2 linked regions of the Pelodiscus sinensis genome follow. The protein of the gene in region 2 interacts with the protein of the main gene of each other region in a pairwise test. Links are inferred from orthologs where the notes say so. Each region holds a gene or a part of one and is shown on either strand. Other genes may lie near its edges. The genes, in order: MAD2L1BP and INPP5K.

Evidence for each region.
Region 1: the proteins of INPP5K (region 2) and MAD2L1BP interact in binary tests that used the Homo sapiens proteins (3 or more experiments, as listed by UniProt). The link is inferred for Pelodiscus sinensis from reciprocal best matches to the Homo sapiens genes INPP5K and MAD2L1BP.

The regions. Positions count from the first base shown.
Region 1 is NC_134713.1:139,343,505-139,347,420, reverse strand, and holds the start of MAD2L1BP (MAD2L1-binding protein), read right to left. Parts: upstream 2,909-3,916; 5' UTR 2,726-2,908; coding exon 2,330-2,725; intron 1,023-2,329; coding exon 486-1,022; 3' UTR 1-485. UniProt on the Homo sapiens protein: May function to silence the spindle checkpoint and allow mitosis to proceed through anaphase by binding MAD2L1 after it has become dissociated from the MAD2L1-CDC20 complex.
Region 2 is NC_134731.1:1,222,611-1,226,526, forward strand, and holds the start of INPP5K (inositol polyphosphate 5-phosphatase K), read left to right. Parts: upstream 1-862; 5' UTR 863-1,613; coding exon 1,614-1,888; intron 1,889-2,070; coding exon 2,071-2,178; coding exon of another isoform or gene 2,179-2,182; intron 2,183-2,760; coding exon 2,761-2,869; intron 2,870-3,916. UniProt on the Homo sapiens protein: Inositol 5-phosphatase which acts on inositol 1,4,5-trisphosphate, inositol 1,3,4,5-tetrakisphosphate, phosphatidylinositol 4,5-bisphosphate and phosphatidylinositol 3,4,5-trisphosphate.

The sequences.
Region 1 (3,916 bases), on a different chromosome or scaffold from region 2:
CCAGACTGTAAAGGAGATGAGAGACCAAGTTGCTTAGTAAAACCTGCTATATAATCTTTGCCACACCCATATTAAGCATAAATTTAGATTATTCAAGTCCCAATCCATTCATTAACATTGCACATTGCTCTTGCAGCAGCTAGAGAACAGCTGTATGAATACCTTGATATTCTTGGGGGTGAGTGGGCATGCTGCACATAAATTGAATTACTCCCACCAACTCTCTAGGGTTCCTGACTCAGTTTCACCAAGAAATTGACATCTGTGAACAAAACTGCATTAGTGCTTATCCCTTGCATGGGGCCATTTAAAGCTTTGTTTTATGGACAGTGAAATACACCCCAGCTGCACGTAGGTAGCACATTCCCTGGATATAGGATTCTGAGGAGAGAATGTATAGTTACAGATCATAAAAACATTCTTACGTATTAACTAAAGTAGCACCAGATTATAAAATGCCCTATTAAAATGCTAGAGAGCATGAGTCATTCATGGAAGCCCTTAAGTGTCACTGGTGCTTGGAACCATATGTAGCTGTCCCAGGCAGAAGTCATTCCCTGCTGATTAGATGGATTTGTACTGCTGTTTCCACCACAGGACAAGTTGACAGTCAGCTTCCTCCCTCGTGTTGGCACTTTGTAGTTGAGCTTTGGTCGGAACCAGTCAATGCCACAGTCACGGTGCCCCTGTACCATGACAATGGTGCCCATAGCAGGAACAACCTGTAACTCACTGAAGACATCTGCAAGGAAGAGTGAATGGAAAAGCTTACGAACACAGGTCGGTGTTTGCAGGCTCTCCTCAGCATTGCCCACAGAGATGCCCTCCAAATTGATCTCATAGAGCTCCTTAGGGCTCATGGCATTTCCTCCAAGCAGAATAAGGATCCGGGGAACCAAGGTCAGATTGAATATGGCTTCCAAATGCCGGAACACTCCCTCCAGCTCCATTAGCACTTGCTGACATTTCCTGCTGCTCCCTCGGTCTGTAGGCTGTGGCTTCTTCTTAATTGCATCACCATCCTGCCAAGGAAAAAGTATATTCTGAAATATTAGGCAAGTGGTGGTGTATTTGACTGCATTTAGCATCTTGAACCACCAGACCCAACAGAAGAAAGAACAGATATTTTAAGAAAAACTAAGGGTTTTTTTTCCTTAAAAACCTGAAAAAAGGAATCTTGGTGTCTTGGTGGGACCCAACATTGAATGAGTTCATTACTAGTGTTTCCTGAATTTAAGGTCAGTAGAAATAAAAGATATCAAGATGGATATAATGAAGCTAGAAACCTCTCACAGCTTGGCATAGCTCAATGAGCATTTTAGTCAACATTCAGCCTCTCTGGATTTTCTTAGGAGGCCGATGTTCTGCTGTGCTCTAAGATCTGTAGATAAAACTACTTGACCAGCCAGAGAGAAGTGTATTCTCTTTAGGATATTGTGTCACATTAAATATAAACACTGACTGCATTGAGAAAAACAATGCATGCAACTGGAAATACAGAAGGTATGTTGATAGAGGCTACAAATCAAGACAACAGCTATCCAGTAGATTAGCTATCCAATTCTTGGAAAAGGCTGACTTGCCTTGGGAGCCAGTGCCACTTTATTCAGTGAGAAAGATTATGAGCCACCTGATCTTTTTTCAAAGTTTTATTGCCCAACAGACTAAATAGCTCTGAAACGCTGTCCATATACCCTGTGTTGCTATCCTGATGAGTTTAATAATCATCTCCATAACACATGGAAGTTTCTATTACCAATAGCCTATTTCAGTTACATGATGGACTTCCCCTTCTCCCTGTTTCTGAGACGTCTGAAGGTCTATCCTAGTTGTGCAAACTTGGGAGCTTAGACACTTTCATGTCCCATCTCCCACTGGTTCCTAAAGATAGCCAGTCCAGCCAAGACCCTGCAGCCAGTCACTGCTGGGCCTGAACCAACCAGAAACCTTACTACTTTGATCTGTAACTGCTGTCTCTTGAACCAGTGTATCAGATCATCCTACCTCGGGAGGGTGCGGCTGGGAAGGCCTATCTGGCCTGGCACAGTAGGCTGACTTTTGCAGAACATGCAGGGAACGGTCTCCAGCCCTCCTCAGCCCAAGGCAAAGTCACTACAGCGCTGGGGCTGGAGGCAGAGATTCCCGGAAGGCAAAAGCACCCGCAGAGATTGACCTGTTGCGCAGGCAGAGGAATGAAGCAGATTTGCTGGAGGGGAGGTAGCGGCCAGCAGCCAGCCCAGGAAAACAGCGTCTCACCGGGCAAGCGCGGAACGCACCCGGCTGCCAGGATCCAGGGCTGGCTCTCGCTCGGCCGGCGGCCCAGGCTTACCTGCGGCGGGCGGGGCAGCGCCCGCCGGTAGAAGTAGGCCAGCTGCTCGTAGGGCAGGGGCAGCTGGTGCCGCTGGTGCAGCACGTGCTTGAGGAGCTCGCAGGCGAAGTGGCAGCAGCCCTGCCGGGTCACGGGGCCGGGGAACACCACCGAGACCGAGCGGCAGCCCGGGGCGCGGCCGGCCGGGCCCTGCGTGGGGAGAAGCGGCGCCGCTGCCGCCCCGCTGCCGCCCCATCCCGCGGCGGGGTCCGGAGTCAGCGTCGGGGCCTCCAGGGGCTCGGTCTGGAGCAGGTCAGCTGCGTGGAGAGGGGAGAGGTCGCTCGGCGCGGGTGGGGAGGGGAGAGGAGCCCGGGCCCGCCCCTCACCTGCGCGCTCCTGGCGGCCCATCCCCGCCATCTTCGGCCTCACGCTCAGCTGCCCACTCCCGGCCCCAAGTTGAATGGCCGCCGCCCCGGGGCATCACGGGACATTCACGTCCCTGCTCCTTCCGGTGGCCGTGACCCCGCCGGCGCCATCTTTTCTTAGGGCACATTAGTGTTCCCTCCGCCCGCCTTGTGGGGACATTTTATTTTTGCACAAAAACCGCTTTTTTCGCAGGATCGGTAAACCTCCTTTTTTCGGGCGTAAGAATCTTGCGCAAAAAGAAAACGTAACGTCCACACTGTTTGTTTTTGCGCAAAAATGGATTGGCAGAAAATATGCAAATGAGATTGTAACTCATGCAAATGAGTCTCTCATTAGCATATTTTTTGCCAAGCAAACTGATCGTGTAGACGTAGCCACAGTGATGTTGTTGTAGAGTGGGAAGTAAATTCCAGGAGCCCTGCATTTCAATCTCTCCTCTGTGCTAATCACTAGACAATGCTGCCTATAGCAAACCAGCTGGAAATGCACATTAAAAACAGGGAAATGGTGTGTTATGGAAGATTAATCCCCTTCTTCTCACAAGTTAGTTTCATCAATAGTATGAGAAAAATAAGTCATTGTCTTTGGTCCACACCCAAGGGTCCATTGACAAGATCCTGTTCCACTCAAGCGGATCTCAACACAGAACAAAAATAAAAAAGACCCTGTAGCTGACATCTCTTCCTGTTTTCAGTGAGCGATCACTAGAAAGACCTCTACCTGGCCTTTAGTTTGTGGCATGATGGTAGCCAAGATCGGTTTGTTCTCCTAGCCAAGTTAAAAGGTGTCAGAATAAATCTATCTGCCTTGATACTATGGTATACAAAAATGCAAGGGGGGGATCCAATTTATAAGGAACCCATTTAATTCCCTCCCTTGCTTTTCCCCAGGGGCTGCATCTAGACTGGCATGATTTTGCACAAATACTTTTAACGGAAAAGTTTTTCCGTTAAAAGTATTTGCGCAAGAGAGCGTCTACCCTGGCACGGATGCTTTTGCGCAAAAAAGATGTCTTTTGCGCAAAAGTATCCGTGCCAGTGTAGACGCTCTCTTGCGCAAGAAATTAACTTGCCTGTCTACACTAGGCCTCTTGTGCAAGAATACCTGTAGGCTGTGTCTACATTGGCACCCTTTTCCGGAAAAGGGATGCTAATGAGACCAGTCAGAATTACAAATGCCGCG
Region 2 (3,916 bases):
AAGTTGTATTTGCCTAGTTTATTGATAAGAATATCATGGGAGACCGTATCAAACGCCTTGCTAAAGTCTAGGTATATCACATCCACCGCTTCTCCCTTATCCACAAGACTTGTTAGCTTTTTTTGATAGGATATCATATTGGTTTGACATGATTTGTTCTTTACAAATCCATGCTGGCTGTTCCCTATCACCTTGCCACCTTCCAAGTGTTTACAGATGATTTCCTTAATTACCTGCTTCATTATCTTCCCTGGCACAGAAGTTAAACTAACTGGTCTGTAGTTTCCTGGGTTGTTCTTATTTCCCTTTTTATAAATGGGCACTATATTTGCCCTTTTCCAGTCTTCTGGAATCTCTCCTGTTTCCCATAGTTTTCCAAAGATAATAGCTAGAGGCTCAGATGCATCCTAGAATACTCAAGGAACTGGTAGAGGAGGTATTTCATCAGGCCCTGGTGACTTGCAGGCATCTAACTTCTCTTTTTTTATTTTATCTTCTAAACCTACCCTCTTCCCATTAGCATTCACTGTTAGGCATTCCTTCACACTTCTCGGTGAAGACCAAAACAAAGAAGTCATTAAGCATCTCTGCCATTTCCAAGTTTCCTGTTACTGTTTCTCCCTCCTCACTGACCAGTGGGCCTACTCTGTCCTTGGTCTTCCTCTTGCTTCTAATGTATTTATAAAAAGTCTTCTTGTTTCCCTTTATTCCTGTAGCTAATTTGAGCTCATTTTGTGCCTTTGCCTTTCTAATCTTGCCCCTGCATTCCTGTGTTGTTTGCCTATATTCATCCTTTGTAATTTGTCCTACTTTCCATTTTTTATAGGACTCCTTTTTTATTTTTGTATTAAGTTAATGTTCAGTTATAAACTTCTGAAAGAACAACCATAAAGTTTAGTTCAGATTTATGAACATTTCAGAGTTATGAACAACCTCCAATTCTGAGGTTCTACTTTACTTTGCAGAGCTGTCGTGAGGATAGTTACATTAAAGATTGTCAGTTACTCAGATACTTCCATATGGGAAGCTGTGTGAGAACCCAAGGTAGATGGAAATTAGCCGCTGAGCATTTTGAAATCCATCTGCAACATAGTAATGTTGAAAAAAAGTCTTAGATACAGTTTGTAAAGTTATGTGGCAGGGCTGTGCTTTTGGAACCCCTCATCTAAAGCTCTTGGATCCTTATGGCTTTTTGTGCTGTGTTCAGGTAGAATTGAGGAGTGCACATGCCTGGAAGTCGGGGATTACATTTCTTCTAACTGCAGATTGATTCAAATCACATGCTTCCATCAGCAATAAATTCTCTTAAACCTCACATTCTTAACAGAGTTAAATCTGTTGGGAAGAAATAGTTTAGTGTATGAGTTGGGGCAGGACTTATATCAGCTTTTATGAGCAGCAGCAGTGTGTGACCAATCTGAATGCTGTATTTCTTTCAGCTTTTCTACACCCACCTATATGTTTTTACCTTGGAATAATGCTGAATTTCACATGAGTTAAAATTTGAGCTGAAGAACCCTGAGAGTGTGCCACTGAGGGTTTTCTGGTATTCAGGATTTAAAGGGTAATGTGGCTGATGCTTTGCAGTGTAGTTGTGTTGCTCTTTTGCCTCGATGGCATCCTTGAATAGTGAAGATGTGCTTCAGGATTCGTCATCCCTCTCCCTGTTTGACTTAGAAAGCCTGCACCCTTTCCGTAGCCGCTCTGCAAGTTTGAGCAGTACAGGGTCCAGTGGTCGCTTACAGCTCCGACAGCGAGTGGCACAGCTCATGGCTTGTGTGGAAGACATCAGCTCAGACGATGAGATGCATGAGGAAGTCTCTCGCACTCTTGATGAGGCTATCCTGATCTGGGGAAAAAAGCTGAAGGACAAGTGCCAAGAATTCAGGTTTCATTCTCTGATTGGCGAGTTGTTATATTTTTGTAGAGCTAGTCAATAGCTTTTATGATGTTCAATTTTGTCATTATTTGTATTTTTTTTTTCACGTATGGGACTTAAGCAGCGGAAAAGTGGATCTTCCCGTGTTCACGTGTTTAAATTTCAGTTTTGTCTTATTGTTTTATATGTAGACTCCACGTGGTAACATGGAATGTGGGCACAGCTTCTCCTCCTCCTGATGTCACTGTCTTACTTCAGCTCAATTCACAGGGCTCAAGTGTGGATATGTATGTTATCGGGTAGGTATGTGATAAAGGATGCTCTGGTCAGTTTTCTACGTGTTACCTGCCAAAATGTTGTTTTTCCATAACTTGCCCAATTCTTTTGAACAGCCATAGCTCCTGTGACGATTGTGAAAGGTGATGAATTGGATTGTAGCATAAGGCTGGAGACTAGTGTCTGTGGATAGAGATAAGGAACATTTTGTGATGAACTGTCTGCTTGATTCCCCAACTCCCATCTTTTTATGTAGCAGAGCTACAGGCCTTATGTGCCTTGATACATGTTCACTTACTCAAATACCTACAAGTTTTAAACATTCTTCTCTTGCTGGCAGTTGTTGACAGCACTGTGTAGTGCAGAGTTTTTAAAGAAGCCAATGAGAGCCAAGTATTTTCAGAGATTCTCCCTTGTATCAGCCAAGGTGTTTCTGTCCTTGCAACAGTCACCTCATGGCAGAGCCTGTTGGGGTTCTTTTCTGCCAAATCACCCTGTACTCAACCTCATTCTGTCTCTTTCCTTTAGCTCAATTGCAGCACCACCTTGTAATGGTATCACTTGTCACTCCATCTTTGTTAACCCTTTTTTTTTTTTTTGTTCAGTCTACAGGAGGTGAACTCCAGGATCATAAATTTCCTTTCTGACTTGGCATTTGATGATCCATGGAGCATGTTCTTCATGACTGTACTCTCTCCTTTGGGTTATGTTAAGGTAACTTTTCAATTCTGTAAATAGCACCTTTTCTCCATTATTTTTCTCTCCAAACTCTGATTATTTTGGGTAACAAGTGCATACTTTGGCAGTTGGTACTGAGTATTTTTGCACAGATACTGATAGTTCTCTCTATATGCACATTTGTCCGTTAGACTTGTAGCCTGCTGGCTTGTTGGCACAGGCACTTTCTAAAGTATTCCTCCCTAACATTGGCAGTCACAGTTTGCGCAATAACGTTTGGATCTGTGGCGTTTCAGTGCTAGTTTTGAAGAGCTGGGAATAATGGCATTTTTTGCAGCTCTAGTACTGAACAATACATTTTCTATCTTTAGGTACTTGTATGGTTCTCATTACCATAGTGTCAGTGCCATAGAACCCATGCCATGAACATCCCCAGTAGTATTGTTTATGCGCCAAAGAGTGTAAATTCCTAAAGGAACAGAGTAGTGAAGAAGTTTATCTCCAGTTTTGCTGTCCATGAGTGGATTTAATTAAACTGTTGTATTCGAGCCCACAGTAGGACTATTTTACTTTTGTCTCTGGAATATTTCTTTCCTCTGTGCATCACTTGGGATCTATAGTATTGTTGCTAATAATATAATCTACTGAGGCAACTGCTTTCATTACAGCCATCTCAAGGAATGACATTGATTTTGATAGTGCTTGGTAAGATTTTTGTTATTTGTAAAATGAGTGGAAATAAACTGTTTAAATATGAAGGAATAAATTCAGCTAATTTCAGAAGAGTTTTTCTTACTAATGTTCTGAGGAAGTGTCTAGAATTTCATAAAGAAACCTTGGTTAGGTAGCTACTTGTAGTCAATGAATTAAGTGAAAGTAAAATGTGGTCAGGCACGTTCTGAAGAGATAATATATTAGCCACTTATGCACCATATTTAATTTAAAATATTTTTACCATTTATTGAAGATCTAAACTTGGTATTCTTATATATTTACTGTTAAGTGCAGCTCCTCCTGTGTTCTGAGTGTTAGTTTCTTATGTTACTAGTGAAGCTCAGTGGCGCTGGTGTGAGATGGGTGTGT